2 linked regions of the Kluyveromyces lactis genome follow. The protein of the gene in region 2 interacts with the protein of the main gene of each other region in a biochemical or structural test. Links are inferred from orthologs where the notes say so. Each region holds a gene or a part of one and is shown on either strand. Other genes may lie near its edges.

Evidence for each region.
Region 1: the proteins of HMT1 (region 2) and SCD6 form a complex in vitro, tested with the Saccharomyces cerevisiae proteins (2 studies listed by BioGRID, with this or other methods). The link is inferred for Kluyveromyces lactis from reciprocal best matches to the Saccharomyces cerevisiae genes HMT1 and SCD6.

Annotation. Positions count from the first base shown.
Region 1 is NC_006038.1:984,913-989,572, reverse strand, and holds SCD6 (Scd6p), read left to right. Parts: upstream 1-1,962; coding exon 1,963-2,853; downstream 2,854-4,660. Other genes in the region: ANT1 (Ant1p), read right to left, coding at 213-1,280; peptide alpha-N-acetyltransferase complex B subunit NAT3, read right to left, coding at 3,029-3,622; KLLA0_B11253g (uncharacterized protein), read right to left, coding at 4,029-4,660.
Region 2 is NC_006038.1:616,266-621,256, forward strand, and holds HMT1 (protein-arginine omega-N methyltransferase HMT1), read left to right. Parts: upstream 1-2,102; coding exon 2,103-3,149; downstream 3,150-4,991. Other genes in the region: RAD61 (Rad61p), read right to left, coding at 1-806; DNA replication protein PSF1, read left to right, coding at 1,065-1,700; KLLA0_B07139g (60S ribosomal protein uL4), read right to left, coding at 3,738-4,829. UniProt on the Saccharomyces cerevisiae protein: S-adenosyl-L-methionine-dependent protein-arginine N-methyltransferase that catalyzes both the mono- and asymmetric (type I) dimethylation of the guanidino nitrogens of arginine residues in a variety of RNA-binding proteins such as heterogeneous nuclear ribonucleoproteins (hnRNPs) and small nuclear ribonucleoproteins (snRNPs).

The DNA of each region.
Region 1 (4,660 bases), about 370 kb from region 2:
AAGCATTAGAATCAAGTTTGAGCTAATCAGTTACTGATAGCTCACTATAACGAACATTTGGCATATAATTTCAGATTCAATTTATCATTATTTTGTAGCAGAGCGCTGTAATTTGTATATATTAAAAAAAAAAGCTTGCTTATACTTACTCCTCAAGAATATGTGATTAAGAAAGAACAAAATGCTGCAAATGAGAGCGGTTCTGGTTGCATTCAATTGGCTTTGATAGTTCTTCCTTTCCTATAAACCTGCAACAAAAATAGTAGCTTCTTGATGTGTTTAGCTAGTTCTCCCTTGAACATAAATAACAAGCCTTGAACAATCACACCTTTGGTTAATTGGGGGAGAAGACCCTTCCAGAGGGCATGGGCACCTTCATGGCGGTATAAATAAGTTAGAACTTCTTGGAAGCTGGTGAATTTGGATGAGGAACGTTGTAATGATGCTTTTGCCACAATCAATGGATGGGTGAGGCAAGTTGAGATGATCTTAGAGAGTACACCAATCAAGAAATTCTGACCAGGTTTCAATTGCAAAGAGGAATCGTTCAAATCCTTGGCGTTCCATTCCACATGGTAAAGTATATCTTTCAATTTCTCGGCTGAGGCATAAGTAATGGAAGGATTTATCGTTAGGACTAACGAGACTTTCAGACTTTTCCAGAATCCAGTAATCCCATCCTCATCATAAACCTCCTTGGCAATAGCCTTGAAACTGTTGTCCCCTTCTAAACCACGTCTAGTCTGTTGTTTTGTCGAAACAATGTTGATTGGATTAGTGAATAACTGAGAGGTTGCTGCTGCCAGCATGGAAAGCAGCAATTCTTCAATTGTTGAAAACCTGGCAGCCTCACCCTTCACTTTCTTCACACGGAAATAATGTCTTCTGATCAAGGTATACCAGAAGAAATAAGAGAAACTCTGTATGAAAGTTCCAAGCAATGATGCGCTTAACCCATGGTATAATCCACCAAACCCTTCATTCCGATAAACTTTTACAATCACATCTAATGCATGCTTATACCGCTGCTCCAATGACTCTTTAGTCGCTGTCGGAGGTTCAGGCTTCGGTTTAATCTGCTGTATACCGTGTTTCTTCGGTTTACTGGAGCCAGTACTTTCCTTGGTAGAGACATCAGCTTGAACATCAGAAGAAGGGTACAAATCACCTTGTTTCAACTGAGTTTGAATCACAGTTTTCGCCAAATCAAGTGGATACACTGCCAAATTGGCAAACCCGCTGGAGACTGCCCCAACGAAAGCATTCTCTAAACTTGCCATATGTTACGGTGGTACGTGATTTAATTGACCCTGATCTACTAAACTTCGGCGTTTATAAAATTGATTATCTCCTGTTCACAATAAATTGTTAGAGGGGCGGTGATTCATTCAATAAGCACTGCAAAGTACTAAATTTACTTTTTTTTTTGATTTTATTATTCTCCGCTTCCAACCGAAGAGTTTAGGCTTGAAAACAGGAACATTTTGCACTTTACACCTTAGAAATTATATTCCATTTATATAGTAGTTACTTTCCCAGAATTATTCCCCAATTAGATGAATAGCGGTCACTTATCACAGATTATTTTCCAGTTTTTCGGCTGTAATGTCCCTTCTCCACACATTTTTTGGCTCTCGTCTGCCTCGAAGTGAGGATTCTTCGAAAAGAAAAAAAAAAAGTGTTGATATTGATCACGTGGTTTTGAAATGCCATTCGTCAACATCGAAAATTAATATTGAAACCGTCAAAACTATGAATTTCCATGCAGGTATTTCCAATTGAAGAATCTTTAGAAATCTAAGGGACTATGACATTGAATAATACTGACTGCATCTGCTAACGTTCGCTCTTAATTTAGAACTATTCCCACACTTTGATCGTTGTTCAAGAAGGATATTTGTTTGTATCTAGTGGGTTTTAGAAGTTAATTTATTGATTATAGAGTGTCCACTTTTTGAAAGGATGTCGCAATATATTGGTAAGACTATTGCTCTTATTTCGAATACTGATAACCGTTATGTCGGCTTATTGGAGTCTATTGACTCTGAGAAAGGTGTTGTTACTTTAAGACAAGTTCGTTGTTTCGGTACAGAGGGACGCAAGGGATGGGGCCCGGAAGAAATCTATCCCAACCCTAATATCTACGATACGGTGCCTTTCAACGGTAATGACGTTAAGGATTTAAACATTTTAGACGTTCCTTTGGAACAAGTACAACCTGTATTGCCACCTCAGGTAAGCGGTCAACCACCAGCTCCGTTGGCTAATGCAAATGGGCCCAACGTTCCTGCTGCGGTGGCCGGGTATGGTGTGTACGCTCCAGACAAGGATCAGCAGCAAGTTCCCCAACAACACCAGCAAAAACAGCAGCAGCAAAGACAGCAGACCCGCCAACAGCCTGTTACCGAAAAGAAAGTTCCTAACCAGCAACAGCAGAAGTCTGCGGCTCCTGCTGCTCCTGTGGCTGCGGTGGCTCCTTCTGCTGTTCCAGATTCTGAATTTGATTTCGAAAGTAACAACGCCAAATTCCAGAATGCTGAAAAGCCCAGAGAATCAGATATAGAACAAGAGAAGCAAACCTCCAAGACAGATGAGATTTTCTACGATAAAAAATCCTCATTCTTTGATTCCATTTCAAGTTCCGCCGTAGAAAACTCGTCTTCTGCCAAATGGGAAGAGGAACGCCAGGTCAACTTGGATACTTTCGGTCAAGCCAGACCAAGAAACAATGGTCGTGGCGGCTTCAGAGGTCGTGGTGGATATAGAGGTAACCGTGGCGGTAACCGCGGTGGCTTCCGTGGTGGAAATCGTAATGCTGCCAACAAGCCACCAGTCCATGATGTTGAATCTTAACAGAACCCCATTAAATACCTATTATCTCAACTACCTCTTAACACACCGGGAAATTGAAGCTAACACGAAATGAATCGAGCAATCTATCGAAGTAAAAGCAGGGAAAGACGCATGTGTAACATAGAAACACTAAGTATACAAATTTAAAAGCTATTATAATTTTAAAAGTACAGCATTAAAACCGTATGTCCATCGGCAAGCAATTATGTTTCCGTCCATCAGCACGAAGACTTTTTCCCTGGTCTCTTTCCATCCCATGTCTCATGTCAAAGGCATCCTTGAGGTCATTTGGTTTTGTTGACCGGGAAGGTATTGGATCAGTTTGCGAGTTGTAATATCCTACAACTCTTCTATAGACAGAATATCCCAATTTTTCATATAAACTGATCGCCAATTGGTTATTGCATTTCACAAATAAATCAATAAAGTTCACATTATGCGGGGAGTTATCTGTTATGGTTTTTAATGTGTCACATAGCATCGATGCAAGCGATATTCTCCTGAACCTAGGTGATATCGTCACAGCAGTAATGTGTGCATGCCAGTCTTGTCCTTTTCCCTCTGTTTTACCCATCATATATCCCGATATTTCATATTCCTCTGAACCGTGCAGCGGAGAAGTCATCTCTATGCTCTTGAACATTAGCGATGGCCATAGAATTAGATATTCAAGATAAAACTCAATAGGAAAGTTCTCTGTAAATGTATCTAGATTCACTGCATTTAAACTGAAAAAATCAGTAGCCTCAAATGGCTGAACAGATGTCATATTTCAAACGTTGCTGTAGTACTAGCAAGTCGTTGCTTAGCGAGTTATCTTGTTCCCGGTAACCTTTTTTTTTTTAGGTGCTGCGAAGGTTCAAATTGGTTGAATCAACCTTTACATGTTTCTTTGAAAGATGTGACAGTGTAACTCAGGTCACGTGAGTACAATTTTCTTCGAAAGAGGAGGTCTATCGAGAAGATTAACGCCATTTGTTCCACTAGTAATGGCTCAATACTAGGTACACGCCCTCCGCTCGACGGAGTGGCGTTTTTCTGTTACAGCTTATATGTTTATGATACTTCAGTTATACATTAACAAACTCCTTCTGAGTTCTATCACTGAAAATAAGGTTTGGATCTGAAAAGTAGAAAGAAATAATAATATATTAACTATGATGAACTATATATGACTACTTTAGCTTCCACATCACCAACTTCTTTGAGGCAAGCGAAACGCAAATGCTATCTTTGTAAATGTCTAAAGACTTAATTCTATCCTCTTTGCCATATTTTAGGGGCCATGTGTCAGATTTCCGTAAATCCACGGCATATAATCCGTTATCTGCTCCAACGACTAAACCACCAAGTGAATAAGACACTTGCAAAATAGGCTGAGAATAACTATCCTGTGGTACTACAGTGGCAATATTCTGTAAGATAGAATCGTAATGCGTCTTTGTGGTGGTGGTTACTGTCTCAGTAATTGATGCATTGTTACTGATATATTCGTCTAGAACACTCCGTTGTGGGATGGAAGAGGAGTTGACAGACAAATCTTCAACAGTATAATCATCCAAGCTCGGAACTTTTGTGACAATAATTCGCATATATGGAATATGGGATGTAGCGACAGCAAGGATTGTTGTGCTATTTATCTGTAGGATGTGAGAATTTATAGGATGCCAAGACGGTGTGAAAGAAGTGATAAGCATATCGGAAACGTTGAAAGAATGGGTACTAAATTGTGCCGTATTTAAAGCAATGTTAGCAACATGATGTATTTGATGATTTCTGAATTTGAATATCATAATTTGAGTAAAAT
Region 2 (4,991 bases):
AATAGTAAACAACAGCTAATCAGTTTTACGACAAATAACTTTTCATCACTAGTAGTGAATGGTAAGAAATCCAGATCATCTTCGAACTTAAGCCCTTCTCCGAGTGTTTTTAATTGATTAACGTGAATGACGGAATTGGAATCATTAAAAGAAGTATTGTGATGTTGAGCATCCAAAATACCTTCATTATTTTCATCATCCTCATCGACATTTGATGCTTCTTCTTGTAGCTCTTCATCACTTTGAAACTCTTTTTTCAATAATGTACGTGTTCTTCCGTATCTCACCTGGCTCACTGCTGAAGTGGAGACCACTTTAAGACATTGAATTTGGCTATAAGTCGATATTACATCGTCGGAGTCTTTCAATGACGAAATCATCGAGGAGATACTGTCAATTGTACTTTGAAACTCATGAATCTCAGAATCATTATCAACAGCTTCTTCAACATCTTTCATATCGTCATTGTCGACTGTTATTCGTTTATGAAGCCTTGTCACTTTACGTTTCTTCTTCATAGATGTCGACCCCATACCATCCAAAATATCGAATGGATCAGCTTCAATTGTCTTTGAATCACGGTTTTCAAATGACTCGTATTTATGAGAGGAAGACACATACTCTTCTCTGACAGGAGCCATGGGAGAAGTCTCATAAGTTCTATCTAAATCTGTTGATAAACTTGTTTCTTCCTCGTCAGTTGAAGTGAAATTGTCCTCATCGCTTAACTCATTGTCTTTTTTATTCAAATGTCGCCTCGCCAAGGCTTGAAATTTCCCATAGTGACCATAAACTCTCGTCTTCATTTATCAGAACCTCCCAATGGGCTTTGTTGGTTTGCTTCCCCTTGTTTTCTTTGTTGTAATTTGTTCGCGTCTAAACAGTATCGTTTCACGTTAAAGTCCTTAAATTTTACGTGTTTTCCTCAAAGCGATTTCAATCTAGAGAAGAGAAAAGCTATGAACAACTTTTACAGAGATAACACAGAGGGAAAAGAACGTGCTAAAAGACCTGGAACTGGATTCAAGTCATTGGTTTTGATTATCATTGCCATAGTACCGAAAATGTACGGAGATCTCGCTAACAAGTTGATACTAGAAGCAAAGAGAACGCAACAGTTATCTCAAGCTGGATTCAACAAACAGCAATTACCAGTATATCAAGACGAGCTAGTCCGTGGCATCCTGAAAGAGGTTGGATCCCTCAAGAAGAACGTGGATTACCTACGAGAACAGCAGCTTACTGATCAGGATAACAAAGTCGCTCAATGCCAGTACGTCGTTGCTATGCTTTCGATGGAAAGAAACAAAAGATGTCTATTAGCATACCAAAAGATGAGAAGTGAGATGCTAGACTCAATGGTTTGGGATAACAACGGGATGGAATTTTCTTCTGCCATATCAAACCACCCGAATCTATCATCGTTTGATTCCTCTGTTTTATCACATGCAGAACAAGAGTATCTCAAAGAGTATGCACAACTACTTACCGAATTGAAATCGGGAGAACTCTCAGAAATCGATTTGACTGGGATGTTACAACCGCCGAGCGATGTGTTCATCGACGTACGAGTATTGAAAGATGCAGGACAAATAGAAACAGAGTACGGTGTATTCAACCTGATTAAAGATTCCCAATTTTTCGTCAGACAATCCGACGTCGAAAGACTTATACAACAAGGATATCTGCAGAAGATATAGCAAGGCAGCTTTTTTCGCCGAATTCTGCACCTTTCATTGCAATTCTGTAGATATCATTGCTGGTGATATTGCTGATGCAACCGTTCCAAATGCAACTAACTAGCTTTACCTCACTTTCACTATGGGGAATGCACGATTTCTTTTTGGATTTCTTTTTCTTGCAGCTCATCGCCTTCAAAAATTTTTCAGTTTTGTATTTAAGGCAACGAGGCATAAGTAACAGAACAGTACTTGATCTGGAACCAACTTGTTAGAACGGTTATTGGTTTGATTGCATTGAGTATAGTGTACAGCTTATTGGGATATAATATTTGTCACCATACATATACCAAGACTTGTGTTTCATCTTTAGTCTAATTGTTGAGCATATCTTTCCTAATTGTAAAGCTAATAAAATAAAGGATGTCCAAGACTGATGTCACTGATTCTGCTACGCAGAAAAAAGAATTGAACGAGTATGAACAACACTATTTCACCTCTTATGACCATTTCGGTATTCATGAAGAGATGTTGCAAGATACTGTGCGTACGCTTTCGTACCGTAACGCTATAGCCCAAAATAAGGACTTCTTTAAAGGTAAGGTTGTCCTAGATGTTGGATGCGGTACTGGTATTCTATCTATGTTTGCTGCAAAGAACGGTGCTAAGCATGTCATTGGTGTTGATATGTCTAGTATTATTGAAATGGCTAAGCAAATTGTTGAATTGAATGGTCTTTCAGACAAGATCACTTTGTTACGTGGTAAATTGGAAGACGTTGTGTTGCCTTATAAGAAGGTTGATATCATTATTTCCGAATGGATGGGTTACTTCTTATTATACGAATCCATGTTGGATACCGTGTTGTATGCACGTGATAACTACTTGGTCGAAGGTGGGTTGATCTTCCCTGACAAGTGTTCCATTCACATTGCTGGTCTTGAAGATTCTAAGTATAAGGGCGAAAAGCTGAACTTTTGGCAAGACGTTTATGGGTTCGATTACTCACCATTTATCCCATTGGTGAAAAGAGAACCTTTGGTCGATACAGTGGAAAACAGTTCTGTTAATACTACCAAATGTAAATTAATCGAATTTGATCTTAATACAGTGACTATCCCAGATTTGGCATTCCACAGCAAGTTTAAATTGCAGGCAAAGAGACAAGATTTCATTAATGGGTTGATTTCATGGTTCGATATTGAATTCCCAGCACCAAAGGGTAACAAACCTGTCACTTTCTCCACTGGTGCCCATGCTACATACACCCATTGGAAACAAACCGTCTTCTATTTGGAAGACGATTTGGAATGTGAAGCTAATGATATCCTAGAAGGTGAATTGACCTGTTTACCAAACAAAGATAACAACAGAGATTTGGATATCAAGATCGTGTACAATTTCAAGGCCTCTGGTCCAGACGGTAAAGAAAGGTCAAGAAAGGGTACCAACACTTACTTGATGCATTAAAATAGTAGCTATGTTGTTTTTCTTACTCAGTCCATTATTTGGGGCCCTTTTTACGTAAACTATTCGTTTACTATTCCCATTGAGGCTCAGATCACCTTCAGATTATGTTTATTACTTGGTTAATTCTGAAGGAATGCAGCTCTTTCAACCTTTCAATGCCTTCGATTCCATTGTGAACTTCACTATTATCATTAACATTAAGAAACAAAGATAAAATAAAAAGGAAATGAAAGCCCCTCTCGCAATTCCAAGCAGTTTGTAACAGTACTTAGCAACCACACCCAATTATTTCCTGCTTAGGCTTCAAGATTATATAATTCTCTATGTATTATATTTTGCAAATTTGATAAGCATTATAGACAAATGTTCACTCCGCCTCTTGCAATAAGAAAAAGACAACGCTCGCTAAAACAATGAATGATTTGAGAGACGCTACATAGAGATATATACGTAGAAACTAATTTTAGTCTATAAGCAGAGCTCAAGCTCTCTCACAACAAGATTGTTTTGGGATTGGGAAGAAGTAGCAATTGAATACAAAAAAATATATTTCAGACTAGTGAAGTAGAAAGAAACGTACTATTTTGTTTAATCGTGCTTCAAGGTTTCCAAAGCAGTAGCAGATGGCTTGATCTTGTTAGCTTGGTCGACCTTCTTGGAACCCAACTTTTCGGCGGCGAAGACCTTAGCGTATGGGTTCAATCTCAACAAGACTTGCTTGTTCTTCAATGGGTTCTTCTTTTGGACGTGAGTACGCTTTTGAGTGGCTTGACCAGCGGCTCTCAAGACAGATTGAATTTCAGTGGAGTTGATGATTCTGGTAACATCGGAAGTAGAGATGATGTTAGATGGCAAAGCGTAACCAGCCTTGACAGAGGCAACGGTTTCGGAACCCCAGATTTGGTCCAACTTGGAGAAAGCGGATTGAGTCCAGATAACGAATCTACCCAAGTGAGCACCTGGAGCCAATTGCAACAAACCTAAAGAGGCAACGTTAGCGGTTTCAACACCTGGAACGTTTCTGAAAGCCTTGACAACACCGTTGTCTTCGGAGTAGACAACCAATGGACCTCTTCTTTGAGTGAATCTTCTGTTTCTGTACTTACCCTTACCAGCTCTTAGCTTCTTGGACTTGACGACCTTGATGACGTCGGAGTGAGCACCAACAGCCTTCAAAGCAGCAACAGCTTCTTTGGTCTTTTGGATGGATTGCAAGTCGTCGGAAACAACCAATGGGATGGATGGAACCTTTTCGACTCTGTGACCTCTGGCCAAAACCAAAGATGGAACAGCAGAGGCAGCAATAGCAGAAGCAGTAGCGTATCTCTTTTCGTTTTGGTTAACCTTAACGTTCCACTTTCTCCAGGTCTTGGTTGGAGCGAACATACGACCACCACGACACATGTTACCGAAAGCAGCTTGACCGGATCTGTGGGTACCACCACCACCAACACGTGGAATACGGGCAACAGCACGACCAGTACCCCAAGATTCAGCAGAGGTTTGGTGACCAGCCTTTTCGGAAACAGCATAAGCTTGTCTCTTGTTCTTGTTGACAGATGTGAACACAGAGTGAACGATATCTGGACGAATTGGAGCACGGAAAACGGCTGGCAATGGCAAATCGGTAGAGGTGGTCTCACCGTTCAAAGATAGAACTGCAACTTGAGGAATAGACATTACTGATAGGTAATCAAATGGACTTGATGATGGGGAGGGAGAAAGTAAAACTTTGTAATGCAAAAGATCTAAATTATACCAAATTAACTATTGTTGAAAAGTTTTCTTCTCTTGTGGGCATCGAAATTTTTCACTTTTTTATATCTGAAAAATTTCATCCAC